2 linked regions of the Macaca fascicularis genome follow. The protein of the gene in region 2 binds, or shares a complex with, the protein of the main gene of each other region. Links are inferred from orthologs where the notes say so. Each region holds a gene or a part of one and is shown on either strand. Other genes may lie near its edges. The genes, in order: CHP1 and SLC9A3.

The links.
Region 1: the proteins of SLC9A3 (region 2) and CHP1 are in contact, whole or in part, in a cryo-EM structure (PDB 7X2U), measured with the Homo sapiens proteins. The link is inferred for Macaca fascicularis from reciprocal best matches to the Homo sapiens genes SLC9A3 and CHP1. Residues at the interface, in NP_004165.2 of Homo sapiens: Tyr396, Arg397, Met398, Gln400, Glu402, Arg474, Leu475, Asn476, Glu477, Leu479, His480, Gly481, Arg482, Ala483, Phe484, Asp485, His486, Ile487, Leu488, Ser489, Ala490, Ile491, Glu492, Asp493, Ile494, Ser495, Gly496, Gln497, Asn501, Arg504; in NP_009167.1 of Homo sapiens: Arg30, Leu31, Arg34, Leu38, Lys40, Glu49, Phe51, Gln52, Arg53, Ile54, Glu56, Leu57, Ala58, Ile59, Asn60, Pro61, Leu62, Asp64, Ile66, Phe70, Phe83, Leu87, Phe90, Leu115, Phe117, Ala118, Leu121, Tyr122, Leu135, Leu139.

Annotation. Positions count from the first base shown.
Region 1 is NC_088381.1:17,780,569-17,785,004, forward strand, and holds the start of CHP1 (calcineurin B homologous protein 1), read left to right. Parts: upstream 1-1,540; 5' UTR 1,541-1,686; coding exon 1,687-1,753; intron 1,754-4,436. UniProt on the Homo sapiens protein: Calcium-binding protein involved in different processes such as regulation of vesicular trafficking, plasma membrane Na(+)/H(+) exchanger and gene transcription. Involved in the constitutive exocytic membrane traffic.
Region 2 is NC_088380.1:827,443-831,781, reverse strand, and holds the start of SLC9A3 (sodium/hydrogen exchanger 3), read left to right. Parts: upstream 1-1,275; 5' UTR 1,276-1,402; coding exon 1,403-1,613; intron 1,614-3,772; exon of another isoform or gene 3,773-3,913; intron 3,914-4,059; exon of another isoform or gene 4,060-4,262; intron 4,263-4,339. UniProt on the Homo sapiens protein: Plasma membrane Na(+)/H(+) antiporter. Exchanges intracellular H(+) ions for extracellular Na(+) in 1:1 stoichiometry, playing a key role in salt and fluid absorption and pH homeostasis.

The sequences.
Region 1 (4,436 bases), on a different chromosome or scaffold from region 2:
GGAGGCGGAGGTTTCGGTGAGCTGAGATGGCGCCTTTGCACTCCAGCCTGGGAACAAGAGCAAAAACTCCATCTCAAACAACAGCAACAACAACAAACAAAACAAAACTGTAGTTCTTCAAACTAGAACCTCAGCCTGCAGGGAACGTGTGGGGCCTCAGGCTAAGCTGTAAAGCCTTAGGAACACTTAAAACTAATAACCTAAGTTGACCTGGGAAAGCTTGCTAAGACAAAAATACCCTGGTACTTAGGTTCTAACAGACAGCGGTCAGAATTCAGTTCTTCCATATCTTATACGGGTTCTAACCAAACAGGTGTGAAGGGGTAAGGCCGGTGAAGCAGTAAGAACTGGTTCACCTGAGAGTAGGCACTAATTTAATGGGTGGCTTTTTACTTTTTTTTTTTTTTTTTTTGAGACGGAGTCTCGCTCTGTCACCCAGGCAATGCCGCGATCTTGGCTCACTGCAACCTCCGCCTCCCGGGTTCAGGCAATTCTCCTGCCTCAGCCTCAGTAGCTGGGATTACAGGCATGCGCCACCACGCCCGACTAATTTTATATTTTTAGTAGAGACGAAGTTTCTCCATATTGGTCAGGCTGGTCTCGAACTCCTGACCTCAGGTGATCAGCCCGCCTCGACCTCCCAAAATGCTGGGATTACAGGCGTGAGCCACCGTGTCCGGCCTACCTTTTTAATCAAAACAAACAATACACCATGAGAATAAAATGCAAAATTTCTCATTTTTAAGACAAAGTAAGGAACTTCAAATAAATGGCGGACCATAAGCTAGGAATTCACTGTCCTCCATCGTTAGGGCTTTTTCCTCCGAAGCAAGTTTGGGAAATCTGGATCCTAATTTCAGCCAAGTGGTGAATTCCTCGAACTTCAGTCTAGAACTAAAAGAAGAGGGGGGCTGCAATGAAGGAAAAAGTCTCGGGACGCTCCACGCCACCCGGCGGCGGTTATCAAATCACAGCCTGAAAACAACCTGGAGAAAGGTCCGCGACGCCGGGCACCCACGCTGCAGAGGGGACGCCCGCCCGGCCCAACGTCCAGTCTCGTCTGTTTCCCAAGGAGCCAATCAGCACGCGGCCCCGAGGCTGGCTCCCCAGCGCCCCCTGCGGCCGGGAGGAGGACGGCCGCCAGGAAAGATACAGAGCGCATGCAGTCCCCGAGGGGCACACCCTAGGGTTCCCCCCACGCGAAGTTTCTCTCCGCAATCCGTGCCACCTATCGAGTAGGATTCCTAGTGTTCGATTTCTGTGAGAAAAGGTAGGCTACGCTGCCTGCCGCAGGTTAGTTTGTTGTAAAACGGTTGGTCAATGGAATTGCCCTTTTAATTGCGTCGTTAGCGCCCGAGTGGCATCGCCCCTTTAAGGCCGGTGGCAGCTGCGGTTCCGGGGGCGGGGTCCATCTTCAGCAGGACTTGGGCTGGAGCTGGGCTGATTCATTCGGGGCTGGAACTCGAACGCTGACGTCGACTCCTGAGCCGGGCGCTGCCTCGCGCCTGATTGGCGGGTCCTCGGGGCCGCCCTCCCCAGCGCACCACCCCTGGGTTCCCTCCTGGGTCCGCAGTGGAAACACTGCCCTCTCCCTTCTTGACCCCTAGCCCGCCCTTCCCTCCCTCCTTCCCTCCTGTCGCCCTCTTTTCTGGCGCCGCTGCTCCCGGAGGAGCTCCCGGCACGGCGATGGGTTCTCGGGCCTCCACGTTACTGCGGGACGAAGAGCTCGAGGAGATCAAGAAGGAGACCGGCTGTGAGTTCGGGTTGGGGGTGGGAACGCCGGGCGCCTCAGACTGGCCTCGCAACCGAGGGCGGCTGTCGCTAAGGTCTGGAGCTCGGGTGCCTGTGAGGTTGGGGGGGTCCTGGGCAGCCTCCAGGTTTCGGGACCGAGAGCTGGAAGACCTGTTCTTCCAGCTGCAGCTTCCTGGAGCGGGGCTGTAGCTACTGTGGGGGTGTCCTTCCCTTCAACATCGGGAGTCTTGATAACTCTTAGAGCGTCGACGCCCCCTTTTTCTGCCCCTTGCCCATCAAAGTCCCCGAACTCCTTTCCTTTCTGTTGCCTAGCACCACCCTTCCCTATGAAGAGGCATCCTGAACAGTAGGTAAAGCCCGAGAAGCAAATTCAGGAACTCGAGATGGATTCTATAGAAAATCCATTTCTGGGCAAGGACCTAAAACCTCCGACAACTATGGGAAATTACAAACTATGGGAAATGACAATTCTTGTCACAAATTAGGAAAACCACCCAGAAAGCAAGACCGTGTAGTAAGGCTTTGGGAGACATGACCCGATGCCTGGAGACCTTTCAACAGGGATCTGGGATTGTGAGACTTCTTTCAATCTGAACTTCTAGAGAAAAAACACGGATACTATGAGCACCAGTTTTTTACTTACACGAGGATACTTGCTGGCCTAATTTCATATATATATATATTGATTTCTACTGTGCTGGTGTACTTTTTTATTCGCTATTGAAATTGGATGTGCTTCAAAAATCTCCGTGTGAATTTGTACTAGGAACTGATTTTTTTTTTTTTTTTTAAACGGAGTCTCCCTCTGTCACCCAGGGTGGAGTGCAGTGGTGTGATCTCAGCACACTGCAACCTCTGCCTCCCAGGTTCAAGCGATTCTCTGGCCTCAGCCTCCCGAGTAGCTGGGAGTACAGGCGCCTGCCACCACACTTGGCTAATTTTTGTATTTTTGGTAGAGATGGGGTTTCACCATGTTGGCCAGGCTGGCCTTGAACTCCTGACCTCAAGTGATCCACCCGCCTCGGCCTCCCAAAGTGTTGCGATTACAGGTGTGAGCCACCCTGCCCTGCAGAACTGATTTTTTTTTTTTTTTTTTTTAAATAGTCCAGTCTCTTCCTCATTAGCCTGCACAAAGGAGCAAAAGGACTCTGGGGATTCTGAAGCTCTGTAAAATACCAGCATACCTTTGAATAGTCCTTGATAATGCAATGTATGATACAATTGTATTGATGCATACAATATTTTATCTTTTCAGTAAACCTTTACGATTCTTGTTGAGTTAATGAATGATGTAGCACCTGAGCTCTGTCTCTTCATCATACCTGTCTTTGATAATGAGATGACCAGTAACTCACTCAGGGGCCCATATGCAGATAGTACCGAGGAGTGCTATGGACAACTACAGAATTACTCAGGCCTAGAATATGTTAAGTGCTGTTCTCTGCTTTGTGACAAGTTCAACTTTCTAGAGTTTTCAAGTTGGAAGGGATGTTATCTAGCCCCACCCCTTGCTGGATTGGTTTGCCCCTTTCAGCCTCCCCTAAAATATGGCCCTTAAGCCTCTCTGTAAAGACCTTTGATAGTGATAACCTCTCCACCTACCAAGGCAGTTCTTTTCACAATTTTGAATGACCCAAAGTAGTTATCTCTTTATAATTTGCAGTACTTGTTTGGCCACTGACTTACTCTGACCCTAGGAGTGGAGATACAAGCAGTTTGGATTCAGCAAGCATTTTATTACATTTTGTGGCCATAGCTTCTGGCCACATTTGTAATTAGAACTACTTTAGGTCTAGGGTGACACCGAATTAAAGTATTTGTGTTAAAGAGTCACATGGAGAAATAAGCAAAATGAAAGAGAAATAAATACAGAGTCACTTAACAAGAAAGTGTAAACCATAGTGAGGATGCAAAAAGCCATTTTTGCTTCAGAATGAAGGGAGCGGTAATCCCATTCTGGTTTACATACATTTGACCAAATGGAAAGGGCCTGGATGGGATATTTTTACCATGTGGCTTGTGGAGAGACAACTGAGTGCTCATGGAAAAGCTGTTTTTCCCATTTCTCTCCACAACCAGTGCAAATGTATGTATTGAGCCAGAATGCTTAGTGAAACAAGTGCTTACTGAATTTTTACAGTGTCTGTTCAGTACTGTGCTAGGTACTGAGAGCAGATGGTGACAAAAAAACGCCCACAACCTGGTTGGGGAGATAAGCCCAAGAGAGTTATGATTAGCATCATGACATAAGAAAGCTGAAATTGTGTGTCACCCACCTTCAGAAATCAGGGAAGAGAGCGTCCCTGTGGGCTGTCCTCGTGGAGGATGGGAATTGGGCCTTGATACATGGATGAATGGAGTAATAGATTAACCTAGGGCATTTTGGGTGACTTCCAGGAGAGATACCCCCAAGCCTGCTACAAAGTCATTCCTCTGTGCTGGGAACCATCAGTTTATCCAAATAGTGTCCATCATCAGAGTTGTTTTTTCTTTTTCTTTTTCTTTTTTTTTTTTTTGAGACGGAGTCTGTCTCTGTCGCCCAGGCTGGAGTGCAGTGGCCGGATCTCAGCTCACTGCAAGCTCCGCCTCCCAGGTTTACGCCATTCTCCTGCCTCAGCCTCCCGAGTAGCTGGGACTACAGGCGCCCGCCACCTCGCCCGGCTAGTTTTTTGTATTTTTTTAGT
Region 2 (4,339 bases):
AGGGTGAGGGCAGACAGCTCAAGGTCAAAGCCAGCAGCCCCCAGGGCTGAGAGGTGAGCTGAGCCCCGGCTGAGTAAGCAGGGGATGCGGGAACTCAGCAGCCACAGTTGTGAGCTGAGTGGGTGGGGGGTGGGACAAGAAGGTGGCATTGGAGCCAAGCCCCTGGGGAGCCGAGGAAGGGAGCAGGCAAGAGCTGTCCAAGCAGAGGGAGCAGGGTGTGCAAAGGCCGATTGCTAGTGTGGGCTGTGGCGTGCATGGGGGTGGGTGTTAGGCAGTGGCTGGGGTCAGAGCTCCTGGGGGAAGTTGAGCCTTTCCTCTGAGAGGGAGGGTCCCAATAGGAGGGACTGAAGGGGCAGGCAAAGGGCCCAGCAGGAGGCTTTGCAAGTGGCTGCAGGCAGGCTCTGAGAAGCTGCTGGTTTTGTGCGAATTTTGAAGGTAGAGCACATATGCTAAGAGCTTGGAAACCCCTGGTGAGCGAAAGAAGTCCGCGTGCCTCCCAGGTCTGGGGCTGGAAGGCTGCAGGGTGGGCTTGGAGGAAAACAGGGGTGTGGTTTGCATAGTGGAGTCTGAGATGCTTAAGGGAGCCAGTGCTGCCAGAGTGGGCTGTGGGCAGAGGCCCCGCATCAGTGTGAAGCCCTGGGGGTATCGAAGTGTTTTGGGTGGAGGTCAGAAGGCAGGGGCCGGGGCGTGGAGGCCACAGAGCCTGGGGTGGGGGATGCGGCCGGCGAGGGGAGGGGCAGAGAGACTTCCCAGCGCACCACGCCAGGTCTGGGCGTCCCCGGTTTCTGGTAAGTGGCCGGTCCGGCTGCGGAATGCAGGTTCCTGCTGAAGACACAGCGAGACGTGAGGCCCGGGGGCCCCGTGCACCCTCGGGCCGCCCTGTGAGGTCTGCGCAGCCCCAGGGCCCGCGTTTATGAAGGATTGGGGCGAGCGCACCCGCAGCTGCCCGGGCACCCCACGAGCTGAGCGGACGCCGAGAAGCGCGGGGAACCGCCTGTCCCGCCGCCCCGCGCTGTGCTCCCCTCGCCCCCAGCCCCAGGGAGGCGGTCGCGCAGTCCCGGGCTCGCTCTTGCCGCGACCTCCCGGACCTCCAGGCCGCAGGCTCCGGGGAAGGGTGGGGACTGGGGAGCGCCGGGTGGGCGTGCGCGGGCGGGGCGGGCGTGCCGGGAGCTGCTGCGGTGTCCGCGCTCGCGAGTGCGCGGCGGGGGCGGGCAGGCTCCGCCCCGGGGCGGGAGGGGGCCGCGGGATTAAAGGCCACCCCGGCGGGCGGGGATCGGACTGTCGCAGGCACCGGCACCGGAGCGCGCCGGGTCTTCGCCGGGTCCCAGCCCCGCGCGACGGCCGAGCCCAGCCGGGACCCCCCGCGACATGCGCGTCCCAGCCCCGCACTAAGCAGGCGGCGATGTGGGGACTCGGGTCCCGGGGCCCCGGCCGGGGACTGCTGCTGGCGCTGGCGCTGGGAGGGCTGGCGCGGGCCGGGGGCGTGGAGGTGGAGCCCGGCGACGCGCACGGCGAGAGCGGGGGCTTCCAGGTGGTCACCTTCAAGTGGGCCCACGTGCAGGATCCCTACGTCATCGCGCTCTGGATCCTCGTGGCCAGCGTGGCCAAGATCGGTAGGTGGCCCCGGGGTCTCCGGGTCTGCCCGCGGGGTCTGCGGCCGCCTCTGCCGGGTCTGGGGGCTTCGTTGTGGCCGCGCCCATCAGGTCGGAGCCGGGCGGCCGCGGCTCGGGAGAGTCTGGCTCTCCGGTCCAGCAGAGCGAGACTCGGGAGCGACTCTGGCCGCGCTAAGCCGCCCCTGCGGGTCCCGAGGGTCTCCCCTACCCGGCGGGGGCACAGCCTCGGAGCCCCTGGCTCGCGGCTCCCGGGTCCCTGTGGGGTCTCCGTCCGGCCTCCGCTCCGAGCCCCGCAGACTGTAGGCTGCTCGCGCCCGAGGAGTCCCTGGGGCCGGGTTTCCTTGGGGGTACTCAATCTTTTTAGAGAAACGTCCTTGGAGTGATGGCGCTTTTTCGTGCGTTACAAGGGCAGAAAGGAAAAGCGGTGCCACCCGCATGAAACCCAGCAGAATCCTCCCTACCGGCGCAGCGTTCCCATTGGCGGGCCTCCTTTTTTTTTTTTTTTTTGGAAAATCCCGGTCGGTCAGATTTCTCTTCTCCTTAACTTGCGCCAATGAACCAGTAATGTGGGCACGGCAGGTAGCTCCTGGCAAGGTGACAGGAAGGTCAGCTTCCTGAGGAGCTCGTGGGGATCAAAGTTTCATGTGTTGGCCCACAGGGGAGGGTCTCTCCAGGGGTGGCGGAGAGGTGGTCACTTGTGTAGAGGGGGGATTAGGGGACACGAGTGGGGCCAGGAGAAGCAAGATCAGAGCAGCAGGCGCCGCCGCAGGTTTCCAGAGCGGCTTTGGACTGGGGCGGGGTGGGCAGGGGGCGGCGGTTTGGATGCTGGGGCCGAGGAGGGGCGCCCACGCAGGACAGGGGAAGGACAGGCTTCGGGGAGAACAGCTGAGAGAACCTTGGCCTTGGTGGAACCTGGTACGCCCAGCAGGCTTGATTGGAGAAGGTGCCTTTTCCTTCAGTGACGCCTGCCGCCTGCCCTATTTATGCCAGGGTCTCCCCTCCCCTCCAGGCCCCTTGAGTGTTTGCTTTCTGTCTCGTAAGTGCTCTTCTGAGCCCTCCCGCGCCCTCCCTTCTCTGCAGCCTCCTCGCTTCTCTGCAGCCTCCTCCCTTCTCTGCAGCCTCCTCCCTTCTCTGCAGCCTCCTCCCTTCTCTGCAGCCTCCTCCCTTCTCTGCAGCCTCCTCCCTTCTCTGCAGCCTCCTCGCTTCTCTGCAGCCTCCTCCCTTCTCACCCCGGTGTCTTTCAGCTCCCGGCCTGGGCTGCCTGCTCTCCGGGCTCACGCTGGCCTCGCTGTGCTTTCCACTGGGGGCTTGCGATGCTGGCCGTGGGGGAGTCTCTGAGGCTGGCTGCCTCCTACAGGTGATTTCCTTGAGAAGGTCCCCTGGGGCATCAGGGAGGTCCAGCCTCAACCTGGGCTCTGCGGTCGCCCAGTCCTAAAGCTCACCCTGCTTTCCTCTGACGGGCGTGTCCCGCTGGTGTAAACTGAATAGGTAATTTCTTTTATTTCTTTTCTTTTTTGAGACGGGGTTTCATTCTTGTTGCCCAGGCTGGAGTGCAATGACGCGATCTCGGCTCACTGCAGCCTCCACCTCCTGCCACAGCCTCTCTGGGATTACAGGCATGTGCCACCAAGCCCGGCTAATTTGTATTTTTAGTAGAGACAGGGTTTCTCCATGTTGGTCAGGCTGGTCTTGAACTCCAGACCTCAGGTGATCCACCCGCCTCGGCCTCCCAAAGTGCTGGGATGACAGGCGTGAGCCACCACGCCTGGTCCTGAATATGTAATTTCTGTACAAGCTGGGGCCTCTCCCAGTTCAGCCCCGTGTACAGAGTCAGAATCTGGCATCTGAAGGTCCGAAGACAGCCACCAGGCACCAGCCAGCCCCGCCTGGGAGCCCGCAGGGAGGGCACACTGACCGGGGCTTTGCCTGGCCTCAGAGTTTGTTATTCACCAGGAAAAGCCTTCGGGTCTCCCAGACACTTGGACTGGTTCTGGAAAGACGTCCTTGAGGGCAAGGAGCTGCCGGCTCCAGCAGCAAGTCCCGGGGGCAGGGCGGTCCCAGAATGCATCTCCTGGGGAGCTGGCCCTTTACGAAGGCCCACCCTGATAGCACCGAGTGAGCGGCTGTCTTTGTCCCGGGGTTGTTGGCCCCACCTGGGAAGGCAAGAGCCTCGCCCCGCGCAGCTGTGAGAGCTCATCGAAGCATCCCACCGGCACAGACCTCTCCAGACCTTCCCTCTACACTCGCTGTCATCCCCTCAACCCACTGTCCACGCTGCAGCCCCGGCAGTGACAGCTGAGGTCTGCCCTGGGTCTGCCCTGATTGGCCCCCAGGCTGTCCCACCCTCCATCCCCTCTCTGCCAGCCACACCTCTTGAATGCAGCCCCTGGCCCTCCCTGTGTGCTTCCTCCCCCAACCCCTCCCCTGTGAACTCTGGACTTCTCAGATTCTGCTGGCCCAGACCGTCCTCCTTGTGCAGCCAGCCTCAGGTGCATGACCTGTGTTCCCAGCGGACCCTCACATCCAGGCCTTCACAGACGCCGGGGCCTGAGCCTGCACCACAGCGGGACTTCTCCCACTTTACCCAGCCTCCTTCACATGCCCACAGCCCCCAGACCAGGGTCCGAACCTACTCAACTGCTTGGCACATTTTGCTGTTTAAAATGATCAGGGATTGGCCAAACTCTTTCAGTCTCAAGTTACACAAACAGAAATGTCTCTTCCAA